2 linked regions of the Diceros bicornis minor genome follow. The protein of the gene in region 1 interacts with the protein of each later gene in a biochemical or structural test. Links are inferred from orthologs where the notes say so. Each region holds a gene or a part of one and is shown on either strand. Other genes may lie near its edges.

Evidence for each region.
Region 2: the proteins of ATP7B (region 1) and ATOX1 form a complex in vitro, tested with the Homo sapiens proteins (3 studies listed by BioGRID and IntAct). The link is inferred for Diceros bicornis minor from reciprocal best matches to the Homo sapiens genes ATP7B and ATOX1.

The regions. Positions count from the first base shown.
Region 1 is NC_080748.1:25,292,632-25,299,729, reverse strand, and holds the start of ATP7B (copper-transporting ATPase 2), read right to left. Parts: upstream 3,021-7,098; 5' UTR 2,770-3,020; intron 2,760-2,769; exon of another isoform or gene 2,680-2,759; intron 2,441-2,679; 5' UTR 2,389-2,440; coding exon 2,335-2,388; intron 1-2,334. Other genes in the region: ALG11 (GDP-Man:Man(3)GlcNAc(2)-PP-Dol alpha-1,2-mannosyltransferase), read left to right, coding at 3,352-3,395. UniProt on the Homo sapiens protein: Copper ion transmembrane transporter involved in the export of copper out of the cells. It is involved in copper homeostasis in the liver, where it ensures the efflux of copper from hepatocytes into the bile in response to copper overload.
Region 2 is NC_080740.1:68,618,676-68,626,246, forward strand, and holds the start of ATOX1 (copper transport protein ATOX1), read right to left. Parts: upstream 3,013-7,571; 5' UTR 2,932-3,012; coding exon 2,926-2,931; intron 1-2,925. UniProt on the Homo sapiens protein: Binds and deliver cytosolic copper to the copper ATPase proteins. May be important in cellular antioxidant defense.

The DNA.
Region 1 (7,098 bases):
GTCATGGACCCCAGGTCAGGGCCACTGCTGCCCCACAGAGAGGCCTCTGAAGAGAAAACAATATGGAGGGATCGTGCTATAATTCACACTTTCAAGAACAACGGCGGTGCACCGATTATGCACTGCGGAGAACTTTTTTTTTAAAAAATCTGGTCCCCACTTTTGAGAAGCACAGAGTTGCAAAGAAAAGGTACATTCAGAAAAGTTTAAATAATCATACCAAGCTGTGTGACCAACTGTCAAATTAAGTTTGGAAGAAAATCTATATCTGAGAAAGCCAGACAGGCCTGGCTAGGACTCAATCCCAGATCTGCCTCTTACTAGCTGTAGAACCTTAGGCAAGTTACTTAAGTTCTCTCTGCCTCTGTTTCCCCATATGTTAAGATGATGAACTCTGACCTCATGTTCTGCCACTTCCCCTCCTTCCCTCTGCTCCAGCCATTCTGGCTTTCTTACTATTTCTCAAACCTTCAGGCCACTTCTGACTTAGGACCTTGATACCTCTGGTTCTTCAACCTAGAACACTTACCCCAAATCTGAATCATTCAGGCTTCTACTCAAATGCTACCTCCCCAGAGAAGAAATCCCTGACTACCTGCTTAAAATAGTATCTCCCCCTCCCATATGATTCCTAATGCCCCTATGTTGATTTATTTTCTTCATAGAACTTATCGGTACCAGAAATAACACTCTTTGTTTACTCTTTTTTTCCCCTGTACCTACTAGGATATAAATTACTCGAGGGCAGGGGTCTTGGTCTTAGCTAGATCCCCAGGGCCTAGAATGCCTGGCACAAAGTAGATAACTAAAAAAATATTTGTTGAATAAATGGTGATAAGAAGAAAATAATACCTGCATCAAAAGGCTTTGTGAGGATTAAATGAGGACTGAACACAGAGAAATATACAGTGCTTAATACAGTGCCTAGCACATAGTAAGCTCAATAATGTTGGCTAATACTATAATCAAAGGAATCCAAGAGAGGATGAGATCACCAAGGACACAGGCAGTTCCAGAAAGTCTCAAGGAGAAGGCAGGTCTTGAGCTTGATCTGGAAGGATAAGGATTTTTCAGATGGGTAGAGAGGTGGGGCCACCGCAGGGGTGTGGAAGTTCTCCTCCTACAAGCTACCCCTCCCCCACGTGCTCTCTTCATACCTCCATTAAATGCAGAGTCTTCACACTAAGAATCATCTATTGACCAGCCTCCTTCTGCCACCCATTAATCCACTTATCTTGCATTTCTATACCACCAGAGTACAGAAGTAGATAAATAGTGAATATTAGATGAATAGCAAAATTGGATGAATTTCACTACAAAAGGGCACGCAATAATGTTGTTGAATCAATTTAAGAAATCTGTATAAAAGGCACAGCCTACTCTTCGGAACAGCAATCCAGGCCTAGATGTCTATCCTTAAGAAATACTCAAGTGTCAGCATTAAAAATCATGTACCAGGATGTCCACTACAGTGTGGCTCCTGAAGGCAAAAAAAACACAACAGAAGCAACCAGAACGTCCACCCAAAGAGAAACAGTAAACACGCTATAGTGAGTCCATATCGTGCAGAGGTTAAACTGAATAAGACAGATGCTTATGTACTAACATGCAACAACCTCCAGAATATATTGTTAAACCAAAAAAAAAAAAAGGTTGGAGAATACACACTATGTGATCTCATTCAACAAAATCTAAAGATTTCTCTGGAGTTATAGATATGTATCTTGTTAAGCATTGTATTTTCAGCTCTTCAACACTGTGCCTGAAACATGTTAAATTTTCAATAAATATATGCTGAATGAATTAAGACACATAAGTTAGGACACCGAGTAGAAACGGATTGGAAAATACATCTGCTTTTCACGCTAAATATTCCTGTACTGTTTGCATTCTTAAGAGACCACATTAATGTATTACCTGTATAATTAAAATGAATTCAAAATAGTTCTTAAAAAAAAAAAAGTTGCAGGACCTGGATAGACCATAAAGGGGTCCAGGCACCAACTCTGAATAACTTCTCCAGGTAACTAATTGTCTTGAGCAATTAGGGCTCTTACACAGCAACTCAACGCTCACTTTACCTCTCCAGCATCAGACCCTTTAACGGCATAAAGAGGAACAGAAAAGTGCTGGGTTTGGAACTGTTCCTGAAAAGCAGATAATGGCATGCCCTTTCTAAAGAGTGCTCTTCTTACAAACCACGACTCCCCTGGGGCCGGGCTCCCGCGCTCGCACTTCCCGGCGCGCGCCCAGGAGCAGAGTAAGGACGGCAGGAGGGCGTGGAAAGTGCTCCAGGTAGGTGTGTGCACACAGTGCCCGGGGAAGGAAACTTACCTTCGGACTGGCCCCTTCTCTGGCAGTAATCTGTCTCTCCTGCTCAGGCATCATCTCCCGGAGAAACCAATTTCTTCTGTGATCTGGCCGAGAGCCCAAAGGTCACCTGGTTAGTGGAGGAGAAGCGCGGTGTTAAAATCCAGGGAAAAGAGGAGCGGGGTGTGGATGGCATCTTTGCTTTTCAGCTTGAACCCAAAGAGGGGTCTGAGAACCGGCTCCTGCATTTCGGACCAGGAATTGGCAGCCCTCACCCCACGGGCTAATTCAAAGTTGCGCTCCACCGCGCCCCTGGCCCTTGGGGGCGCGGAGATGAGGGGGGAGGGTGGGCCTCGCACCCTCACTCACACCCGGAGGCCGGCCCGCCGCTGCCTCAGTGTCCTTGGCTCAGCCGGGACCCTTGGCGGGGACTCGTCCTCCCTCCTGGGTCTCCGATACCTTGGACCGGTGCGCTCTGGACTCGGTCTTCAGCCTCCGGCGTGTGCCGGGCAGGAAAAGAAGGGCGGGCGAGCCGCGTAGACCCCGGCAGGAGATGCAGATCCCAGAGCTCGCCCACAGCCGGCGGGGAAGGTGCGGCGTGGCGGGAGCCGGCGTCGGGTCCGCTCTGCGCAGCTCCCTCTCCGGCTCGGCTCCTGGCTCCGGGGCGCCGCGGGTCCGAAACGCCGCACCTGGAAAATCGATCCGAGACGCGCAAGAGCTTCCCATTGGTCTCCAACGGGCAGCGGGCTCTGGACTGAGGGCTTCCAGTAGTCTAGGGGGCAGGGGCCGGAGCGCTGGCTGTCCATCACAGGCCACGCCCTCCCCGTCCCAACTCCCACTACTGTCCCGCCCACGGGGGCGGGACCCGTGAAGCCACGCCGAAAACTTGTCTGCTCCTTGGAAGATTCTATTGGCTGGAAGGCCGTGGGAAGCCACTACCAGCAACCAATTGGAACGCACAATTAGCACCACTCGCTTTCTCAGGAGCCAATAGAGAAGAGGAACAGGGAAGCGTTTCCTGAGTTCGGGGGTCGGCGGAAGATGGCGGCGGCCGAAGGGGGTTGGTGTTTGTGCGAGTTACTGAGGTGAGGAGCCGGTGGTGTGGGCTCGCAGGCGTGTTGTGAATCACGGTGGTACTTGTCCGCCCAGTGCAACTCAAGTTTTCGAGGAAGGGCGTTCCTTGCCACGAACCTAGGCTGTTTTCTCAAGGCCAGTGAGCGCTTTTCCTCTCACTTTGGGGTCTTCTAGCTAGACCAGAGCAGACTGGGTTCAGGACTCAGTTTACCCCGTTTTCTTCGTCTGCGCCACTGCTGGCGGAGGAATCGAGCTCCCCTCCCTGCTTCAGCTTGTCTTTCTCTTGTTTGGACTCCACTTAGTCTGTTATAAATTACTTATATTCATTTCTCATTTTTCTTTGTGATTGAGCCACAAATCATTTTCCAACCTATTGTGTCTTTCTTTCTGGTAAAGAAGAAACCAGATCTTCCTTCCCACGTCTTAGTTTCTCCTCTTTCACCAAAACTGTCTTGTTAACATGTCACTTAAAGGTAAAGTTTATGTTGACTCCTCTGCTTCTTGATTACTCATTGATTTTTCTTTTTTTTTTTAAAGATTTTATTTATTTATTCCCCCCCCCCAAAGCCCCAGTAGATAGTTGTATGTCATAGTTGCACATCCTTCTAGTTGCTGTATGTGGGACGAGGCCTCAGCATGGCTGGAGAAGCAGCACGTAGGCGCGTGGCCCGGGATCCGAACCCAGGCTGCCAGCAGCGGAGCGCGGGCACATAACCGCTAAGCCACGGGCCGGCTCTGATTTTTATTTCTGATTGATGTAAAAATAGTTATGTAAAATATTATTACTTCTATCTTTATTACATAAGTAATACATTGTTTCTTGTAGAAAAGTTAGAAAATAGATGAGCAAAAAAGAAAATTCGCCGGGAATGCTGCCATCTGAAGATTACGACCGTTAACATTTTGGTGAAAAACTCCCAGACTTTTTTCCTACATTTGTTGCTGTAATACTACAGTATTTTACGTGCCTTGCCCTACACGAATAAAACAGAAGACCTACACAGCTTTTTAAACACCTACATATTTTTGTTCAGGTTGAAAATTTATAATTAACACGATAGCATCCTGAATAGCAGTATATACGTATTCTCTCCAAAATTCAGATGTTGTTTCTTCATTTTTGTCCCTCCTACTTCAAATTCTATAATGATTATTTAAAACATTTTGAAAGGGAAAGTCTTTTTTCAGAGCCTTCATATTCTTCCCTGCCATTTGAAATATCCCTAACTCAGTGCTTTGCACATAATAATAGCTAAATAAATGTTTGCTGAATGAATGACTCACTGTTGATTACAGTTGTCTTTTTAAAGCCTTATATTTAAATATGGGTGAACATTATTTAATGGCACATATTTAAGTTATATATATATTTTTAATTATCTTTTGTTTTTAACTTTTTTAATTTTTTTTTTTTTAATTTTTTCCCCCAAAGCCCCAGTAGATAGTTGTATGTCATAGCTGCACATCCTTCTAGTTGCTGTATGTGGGACGCGTCCTCAGCGTGGCAGGAGAAGTGGTGCGTGGGTGCGCGCCCCGGCCGGCTGCCAGCAGCAGAGCGCAACACACTTAATCGCTAAGCCACGGGGCCGGCCCAATTTAGTTATATTTAAACAAATTCTAAAATGGGTAATTTTGATGTGCAAGTACTGTAGGATGTTTAAAAAATTTATTTATAGAACCTGTAAGTATATCTTTGAAACTAACAGACTCAAAGGACTGGTTCAACTTTAGTCATTAATATGATTTTTTTTCTGATCGTAAGTTAAATTGTTCAATTTGAAAATCCTATCACATGAATTTTCCCACTTAAATCATTTGAAGGAAGTGTCATAAAAATCTTCGGATTCTATGAGTCAGCTACGTTATAAATTAAATGGGCTTTTGACTTGTCGTGGGAAAGCTAAATGAATTCATAAATATTTTTTTTAATTCCTCAGATTTTGTTTCTAATATGCTAAATATTGGTAGGTGTAATCATTGTAAACTAGTGGTTCTCAGCAAGGGGTGATTTTGCCCCCACAGGACATTTAGCAGTGTCTGGAGATAATGTTGATTGTCATGATTGGCAGGGTGCTACCAGCATCCAGTGGTTGAGACCAAGGATGCAGCTAAACATCCTTTAATGCACAGGACACCCCCAGAACAAAGAATTATCTGGTCCAGAAGGTCAGTAGTGCTGAGGTTGGGAAACCCTGATGTAAACAAAAGCTGTATGGGGTCCTCAGTAATTTTTAAGAATATAAGGGTGTCCTGAGACCAAACCATTTTAACAAGTCAAATACCTCTTCAAGTAATGAATGGACTGGTTCACAATAGGAAATTGCACACGAGAAATTTATTTCAGAACTAAATATCAATAAGATGTTTATTTCTCTGAAAAATTTCTACTTATGGACAATGAAAACGATGTAACTACACAAATTATCCTCATATTTGCTTTGGTCGTTAAGCAGCCCAGAGTCCAATCTGCTGTTCACCTCTACGTACAAACTTAGAGCCTATGTCCCCTCATCTGCCTTCCCACCCCCCCAACACACTTTAACTCTATATTTTTCCTGGTCCTGACTTTTGATTGTTTCAGTTTTAGTATTTTATTGTTTTTATGTCTTATAAGCCCTTCAAATCCTTTATAAAGGGTAGGCAGGGTATAAAAAATATTGTTAGGTACCAACTGTATTGACCAACCCTAAGAGAAAAACATACCTTGAGAAAATATTTCAACATAATTTAAGAGACATCTGAGGAGGTAATAACATTTTGCATTCAGTCATCAAATACTTATCGGCTGCCTTCTCTGTGTCAGGTATTGTGCTGGGCATTGGGATACAGCGGTGAACCAGCCTGGGTCCTTGCCCTCGAAGAGCTTCAGTCGACTGGGCAGTAATAGAGAACCTTTTAGCAGTCAGTGTTGGGGGAAGTTTACCAATGTGCGTGAAGTAGAGCATTAGTGGATTTTTGGCAGCTCATGGTGAGGCAGATAAGGGAAGGCAGTGATTTTAGGGTCAGGTAAACACATCAAATACAGAACTCAGAATAGAACTGGAGAAATTTAAATTCCGTTCCTCTTACCACAGAAATTGTTCTACTTGAAGTGAAGTGAGAGAATACAAATGATTTACTATCTCACCAAACTTAACTAATGGAATATTGATCCTTCCACAGGACATATTTCTTTGGGTTACGTATTGTCGTTTTGAGGGCCAGACGCCATTCCTAATCATGTCTTATTTAGGTTAATAGTTAAATTTTTTTAAATCCCTTAACACATACACTGAGTTAAGAGAAAGGTGGCTCAACATTGATTTCTACTGCTGATTAAAAAGAAAAAGTAGGGCCAGCCCCGTGGCTTAGCGGTTAAGTGCGCGCGCTCCGCTACTGGCACCCGGGTTCAGATCCCAGGCACGCACCAACGCACTGCTTCTCCGGCCATGCTGAGGCCGCATCCCACATACAGCACCTAGAAGGATGTGCAACTATGACATACAACTATTTACTGGGGCTTTGGGGGAAAAAATGAGGAGTATTGGCAATAGATGTTAGCTCAGAGCCAGTCTTCCTCAGCAAAAAGAGGAGGATTAGCATGGATGTTAGCTCAGGGCTGATCTTCCTCACAAAAAAAAAAGAAAAAGTATATTAGATTGCTAGCATGCTGTGGGGATGGGAATTATAGGGGACTTGCACTTTCGTCATTGGAGATTTTGTAGCATTAGAATT
Region 2 (7,571 bases), on another chromosome or scaffold:
TTCCCAGGGGTTAACTAAGGGGCCCACAGTCACATTGCCAGTATGTGCTGGGGCTGGGATGTGAACCCAGGTGTTCCCAGCTCCAGGGACATCTTGCTGGTTCTGGCCCAGCAAACAGCACTGCCACCCACCAGCCCCCACAACCCTGACTATTAGCAGGAGCTCTGAGAGTGGGAACACCTTGTGATGGAGCACAAGGTTTTGCTGCCCAAAGACCTAAAGTCAACGATACCTGAAGCTTTCTTTCTGCAGCTGACTAGAGAGAGCATGTGTCCTTCCATGGTCCATAGTACAGAGGTCAGAAGCCAGGAGGTGGTTTCCGGATGGCAAACCTTACAATTCAGTGCTCCCTTCCTCCACCTCTAAGTAGCAAAAGTAAATTGGGGGGCGGCGGAAAACCTACTTAATGGACAGAGTAATCCATTCTTTACAGAGAATCCCAAGACCAGCCCCACCACTGAATGCTTGATTTTGCGCAGTCCCAGCCCTTCAGGGCCTCTACTCTGTCACCTAAAGAACGGGTCCTTACAGTAGAGGAAAAAGTCCAGTAAGCTGTGCAATTCTTTCACAGAATCTCAGAACTGGAAGGGAGGGAATAGAGTGGGGTCACACTGTCCAGACCCCTCCCAGAGAAGGAATTCTTTCTTTTTTTTTTTTATTATTTATTTATTTTCCCCCCAAAGCCCCAGTTGACAGTTGTATGTCATAGTTGCACATTCTTCTAGTTGCTGTATGTGGGACGCGGCCTCAGCATGGCCGGAGAAGCAGTGCGTCGGTGCGCGCCAGGGATCCGAACCTGAGCCACCAGCATCGGAGCGCACGCACTTAACTGCTAAGCCACGGGGCCGGCCCTAGAAGGAATTCTTTCTCAACTAGCCAGGACATAGTCTTTGAACACCCTGATGATAGCGAGTTTACTAATATTTATATTCGAGTGCCTACTATGTGCCAGGCATTGTTCTAAACACCTATATGCATTACCTTGTTTAATCGTCACAATAATTCCATGAGGTAGGTACTATTATTATCCCTTCCTGACAGATGAGGAAGCTGGGGTTCAGAGGTTAGGTCACTCGCTCAGGGTGACACAGCTAGTGAGTAGCAGGACCTAGACTGGACAGTCTCCAAAGTCAAAACACTTAACCACTGTGGTCCTTGTTAAAACGGGGTTGAAACCTGCCTGCCTATAGTCCTACCCTACTTGTCCTAGGTCTACACAAGAGCTACCATTTCTTGGGGACTAGCTATGTCAATGGCTGTGCTACGTATTCTACTGGCTTTTTTCCAGTCAACACCAGCACCAGTCTGTTGAGGTCACAGTTTTATCTCCATTTTACCGATGAGAAAACCAGGCACAAAGAGGTAAAGCAGCTTGCCCAAGGTCACCAGTTGGCAAGCAGGGGTACAGACTTTTCAAAGAGGTTCCTGAGATTTGAAGTGTTTGTCTGAGAAACCTCTGAGGTGACACTCTTCTGCTTCCAGTGTTGTCGGCAGCCCCTTGACTAATACCCTCCTTCCTTTAGCTGTTCATCTGGGGATGTGGTGCCAGTGCCCTCTTCGTTCTGATCATCCGTTCTGGAAGGTCTTTTGTTTGTCAAAATCCCCAGTAGTGAACAGAGAATAGAGTGATCCTCAAGCTGGCTTTTCCCTCACCGCCACCACCCAGAAAAACCTAGTGGCCTCCACTATCCCAGTCCCAGGGCGATTAATGCTGTCCTTGGCAGGTTTGCTGTACAGCAGATTTGCTCAATGGGGAGGGCTGATTCTATCAGGTTCTTTGCCTATGCATTGTGTTGTCTGAGGATTTGTCCCAAGGCAGCTGCCAAGACTCAAGGGAAATGACACATGATATGTTTGTGGCTCAGCCCAGGGGGCCTCTGGCTCACCTGTCAGCTCCCCAGAGCTAGGATGCTAAGACACAGGGCATCTGCAGGACACCTCTGGGTACCCACTTGGAGCAGAACTGTGAACTAGACACCCTGGGGGCAAATGCTAAACCCACGTGACACCAATCAGGAGCTACAGGATGCAACTGGGATCAGAGCTTCCTCCCAAGCCGGTGTGACTACTCTTGTGGTCAGGCCAGGAGAGATTGGGAGCCTGAAGGGGCTTAATCCTGGCTCCACCCAACTCCCAACATGACCTTGAATAAGTTACTGCACTTTTTATATCTTTATCTCAAAAGGCCTTAATTCGTTATCAACAAAATGCCCCACAAGCAACCACATCTGTGCAATAAGACTGAGTGAGCTGCAAAGGTGGGCTGACACCTGCTCATTCCTCCCCAAACTCTGTCGCTGAGCAACTGGCGAATTTGGGCAAGTCCCCAAACCTCTCTGGGGATCACGGGTTCAGGTTCAGAAAGTGACAGGTAGGAAAGGTTAAAAGCACTGTCTCCTTTCAGTGTCGCCCAGCGCTAACCTGAAGTTGGGCAGAGTGGGCGGGAGAAGGGAGGAAAAACAGACGTCTGAAAACCTGCCCTCTGCATGAGGCAATAGCCATCCCATCCCCCTCTTTGAGGCCAGCTCCGCGGACAGGGGCATCCAGATGGAAGTCGCAGGGACTAGGCGTCCCAGTTCCTGCTCGCCACCCACTCCCTGTGTGATCGCGGGCGACTCTGCCCTTCTCCGAGTCTCAGTTTCCCCGTCTACGCAGGGAAGTCGGGCTTGGGACCGCTGTAGGCCTAGAGCTCCGATGCTCTGAAGCTTGGCTCCTAGATTAAACTCCTTTCGGATCCGAACTTCTGGAGGGTCGCAGAAGCTCAGGGCTGGGTGGGGAGAGGCGAGAAGAGAGGCAATAGCTCCAGCCGCGGCCTGAGCCCTTGAAGAGCGACATCTCGCCGAGCGGCGGTGCGCCCGGGGCGCAAGCCGAGGGCCGCGGGTCTGCGCGGGGCGGGGGCGGCGCGGCGGCGGCGCGGCCACTTACCGGCATGACTGAAGAGGCGCTGGTGGCAGCGGAGACGCCTTTCCCGGTTCTGAGCGTTGGCGCGGCTGCGCTTCGCGGTGCGCACGCCGAGAGGCCCCGCCCCCTCCGGCCCGCCCCCAGGCCCCGCCCCCGAGGCCCCGCCCCCGAGGCCCCGCCCCCCCGACCCCGCGGGCAGGGAGCCGGCTGCCAGAACGCTGGCCGCTCCGCCTCCTTCCGGCGGGCGGGGCCCTGGACACCCGCCAAGTCTGAGCGAGGCGGGGCGAGGGACGCTGGGCCGGCCTTCTGCGCCTGTTGGCCGCTTTTAGATCGCCTGCTCCGTGTCAGGCTGGTGTTGGGCCTGGGAATCCGTACCAAGGCCCCGTCCCTCCCTAAAGGGACAATCTGATTTATTCACAAGGTCAGTATTTATTGAGTGCCAACCATGGGCCACACTGTGCTAGGCATCTAAGATGCTGGAGTGGAAAGAGCAGCCCAGCAGGGAGCGAAGGAAGCAGGCGACGATAGTGTCGTGTTAGAGGAGTTGTGTCGTGGGAGCAGAGAAAGGATCTCTGACTCAGGCTGGAGTGTGTGTGTGTGTGTTGGGGGGCTGTTGTTGAAGAGAGGAGGCTTTGGGAGGAGGTAATAATCTGAGTTAAGGGGGAAGAGTACACGTTCTGATGAAGGAAGATGGGCTATTTGGGAAGGAGAGAGTGCAATTCATGAGGAGCAGCGTTATGGACACTCATTCGAGATGACAAATGAAACTCTATCAAAGAGGAGAGGTAAATGTACAGGGTTATAGTTCCTGCATATAAATAAATACATAAATTCCATCTTTTACATAAAAAAGAAGCCCGAAAGGAACTACAGCAAATGTTATTAGAAGTTATCTTGGATGGGTGCAGGATTACAGGCAAAACCCTGATGTACATATTATTTTTAAAATTTCAAATAGCATAAAAGAATGTAACAGTGAAAAGTCTCCCACCTCCCATGATCTCCCTTTTTAAACTAAAGGCATACTGTACACAGATTTGCACCCTGCTCTTCTCATTTTACAAAATATCTTAGAGATTTTTCTTTAATAGTCCACATCAATCCCTTTCATTCTTTTTAGCATGACATAGCGTTCTATTATTCAGTTGTACCATAATTTATTTAACCAGTCCCTACAGCAGAAACTATTGGTTGGCTAACCCAACACTCATTCTCAATCTTTTTACTCTAGCTCCTATAGAGGCTGGAATCCCTAAATACTTGCTTTTGTTCTCCCTTGCAGCCAGGTGTGCCCATATGATATGGCTCTGGCCAATGACTGAAAAGCAGAAGTCAGCTAGGGAGCTTCTGGGAAGGCTCTTGCTTTCCTCACACAGGGAACAGATACCACTCCTTTCCTCTTCCTGCTTAGAATGCTGATGTGATATTTAGATGCAAGTGCACCATCTTGCACCCATGAGGGAAATGCCAAGAGAATCCCAGAGACACTGGTTCTGACTGTGTGCTCGCTGAACCCATGCCAACTTGTCCCCTGCTTATAATGTGAGAAATGTCAGCCCATCTCTAGTTCAGCTACTGCTACTCAGACTTTGTGTTCCTTGCCCCTGACACAGTCCTGATACAGCTCCCCACTGATGGGCATATGGGTTGCTTCTAATCTTTTAATGCTAATAACTATGATGTAATGACAATCCATATACATACATCTTTGCTTAATATTTATGTAGAATAAATTCCTAGATGTGGAATTGCTATTCATTTTTAATTTTGATAAAGCCAGATTGCCTCTCCAAGTTTTATCAACTACATTTTCATATCTCCAGATCAATATGTAGTACCCTCACCCATTCTGTTATAGGTGATTTTTATTTCCTTTTTTCTTTTCTTTGCCATATTTCCTGTAATGAATATGTATCAAGAAAAGAATCACAGGAAAGAATATTTTTAAAAAGCAGAGTTCAGGAATTCTGAGTTCCAGACTGCCCAGCAGTCTCATTACTAGTCTCATAAACTTGGGTAAGTCATTTCATCATTAAGCATTTGGGCCTGGGAAATGGACCCTTTCTGGCTGAGAGTGCTGCTGTAAGGATGGTCATGTGAAGTGGTGGGTTCACAGACAGAGGTTGGTGCCTTCTTCCCGGTAATTCCCTACCACCTACTAGAGTGACACTTTGGTGGATGCTGGGGTTAAGCTTTGCAAAGCAAGGCCTTCATAGCTGCTGCCTACTCCTTCCAGGAGACCAAGTGTCTGTTTTCTGTCCTATAACACAGGTACGCACTAGCTGCCTCACTGCTTTATCAACCAAGGAACTCTTAGCCTTGGATCAAAGGTTCTGAGCTGAAAGGGCCCTTGGAGAAGCCAAGGCAGGAGAAGAGAGGAGACAGAGCCAAGGGAACTTGGGCTGCAGGCTTGGGAGAGGCAGCATGGCAGAGTTGCAAACTGGCTGAATCTGGCCTACAGAAATATTTTATTCCGTTCCTAAAGTGTTCAAAGTATTTTTGGATTAGTTGACCACATTTAAGAACACTGAGTGTGGTTGCACAATGTTGTGAATGTACTTCATGCCACTGAATTGTACACTTAAAAATGGTTAGAATAGGGGCCAGCCCAGTGGTGTAGCAGTTAAGTGCGCACGCTCCACTGCTGGCAGCCCGGGTTCGGGTCCCGTCTGCGCACCGAGGCACCGCTTGTCAGGCCATGCTGTGGCGGTGTCCCATATAAAGTGGAGGAAGATAGGCGCAGATGTTAGACCAGGGCCAGTCTTCCTCAGCAAAAAAGAGGAGGATTGGCATGGATGTTAGCTCAGGGCTTATCTTCCTCACCAAAAAAAAATAAATAAGGTTAGAATGGTAAATTTATGTTCTGTATATTTTATCACAATTAAAAAACAAATTTATTTGTAGACTGACATGTAAAATTAGTTGCTTCTTTATTACAAGAACTAAGAAAAGCATTTTTTAAAAAATAAAAATTCCAGAGCCAGCTCTGAGGGCCTGGTGGTTGAAGTTGAGCGCTTTCACTGCTTCGGCGGCCCGGGTTCGCTTCCTGGTCGTGGAACCACACCACTCGTCTGTCAGTTGCCATGCTGTGGCTGCAGCTCACATAGAAGAACTAGCAGTACTCACAACTAGGATGTACAACCATGAACTGGGGCTTTGAGGAGGAAAAAAAAAGAGGGAGATTGGCAACAGGTGTTAGCTCACCTAAAAAAATACAAATAAAGTTTAAAAAAGAATGAATTCAATTATTCCTCTTAGAAAGAAAATTTCATTGCATTTTTTTAAGTGAGAGCAAAACATTTTTATACCATTAATAAAATGGTAAAAAAAACACTGAGTGATGTCACATGATGACCCAGCTTTTGAGTATCTCCTGAAAAACTGGAAGATCTGAAAACATCTGCAACTAGCAGGATAGGCCAGGTAATGCTGTAGTAACAAACAATCCCAAAACCTCAACGGCTTAAAACAACAGCTTTCTGGTTTTTTTTTGTTTTGTTTTTTTTTGTGAAGAGGACTAGCCCTGAGCTAACATCCAATGCCAATCCTCCCCTTTTTTGCTGAAGAAGATTGGCCCTGGGCTAACATCCGTGCCCATCTTCCTCTACTTTATATGGGATGCCTCCACAGCATGGCTTGCCAAGCGGTGCGTCGGTGTGCGCCCGGCAGCTGAACCTGGGAACCCCAGGCCACCGAAGCAGAGCGCGCGCACATAACTGCTTGTGCCACTGGGCCGGCCCCCAGATTTATTTCTTACTCATGTTATATGCCCATCACAGGTTGGAAAGGTTGGAGGAGTGGCTCTGTGCAAATTGTTTTTGAGGGAGATTCCCCCTATGAGACGACATTGAATATGGAGGTGAGGGTGGGGAGGGAAGACCTCAGCAAGTAATCGCAACCTCCAAAGACTTCTCTGCCTGGAAGAGATATGTGTCACTTCTGCTCACGTTGTTTTGGCCGAAGCAGGATACTTGGCTAGGCCTGTCTTTAAAGAGGCAGGAAAGTATAATCCTGCCAGGTACCCGGAAGGAGGAGAAATAGCAATGTCAGAAAACAAAACTAAGGCCTGCCAAGGACTCTTTAGACAAGGCCCAGACTCTTTGGGCTACCACAGTCTCCAGGACTCCTTTGTGGTCTCCCAGCACGGTAACCAAAAGTCAGGGGACATTTGTCACACTGTCCTCTTGTTCCTTTATTCTCTGCCAGACTACTTTAGGCTTTGGGGATTTAAAGCTGTGTTTAATGAGACAAACCAGACAATGCTTATGTTCAGTTCCTGGCCGTTTTTGGCAATTAACCTCTCTGAACCTCAGTTTCTTTTGCTATAAGATAAATATAATAATTAGACCTATCCTCATAGTGCTGTTGTGAGAAATAAGACAATGCCCATAAACTATTCTGTTCAGTGCCTGGTACATAATAAGCACTCAGAAGCTAGTCTTAGGGTTATGACAAGTACTTTTTAAATTACGTAATATATGAAAAGTTTCTTAATGTAAAAAATTTTTAAACAATGCAGATAAAGTTTCCTTCATACCTTTATATCACTGCCTTCCACAGTAGAGGTAGTGACTACTATCAGATTGCTGTACATTTTAATATTAAAAAGTAGAATTTCTGGATTATAGGGTATATGGATTTTAAATTTTAATCAATGCTTTCAAATTTCC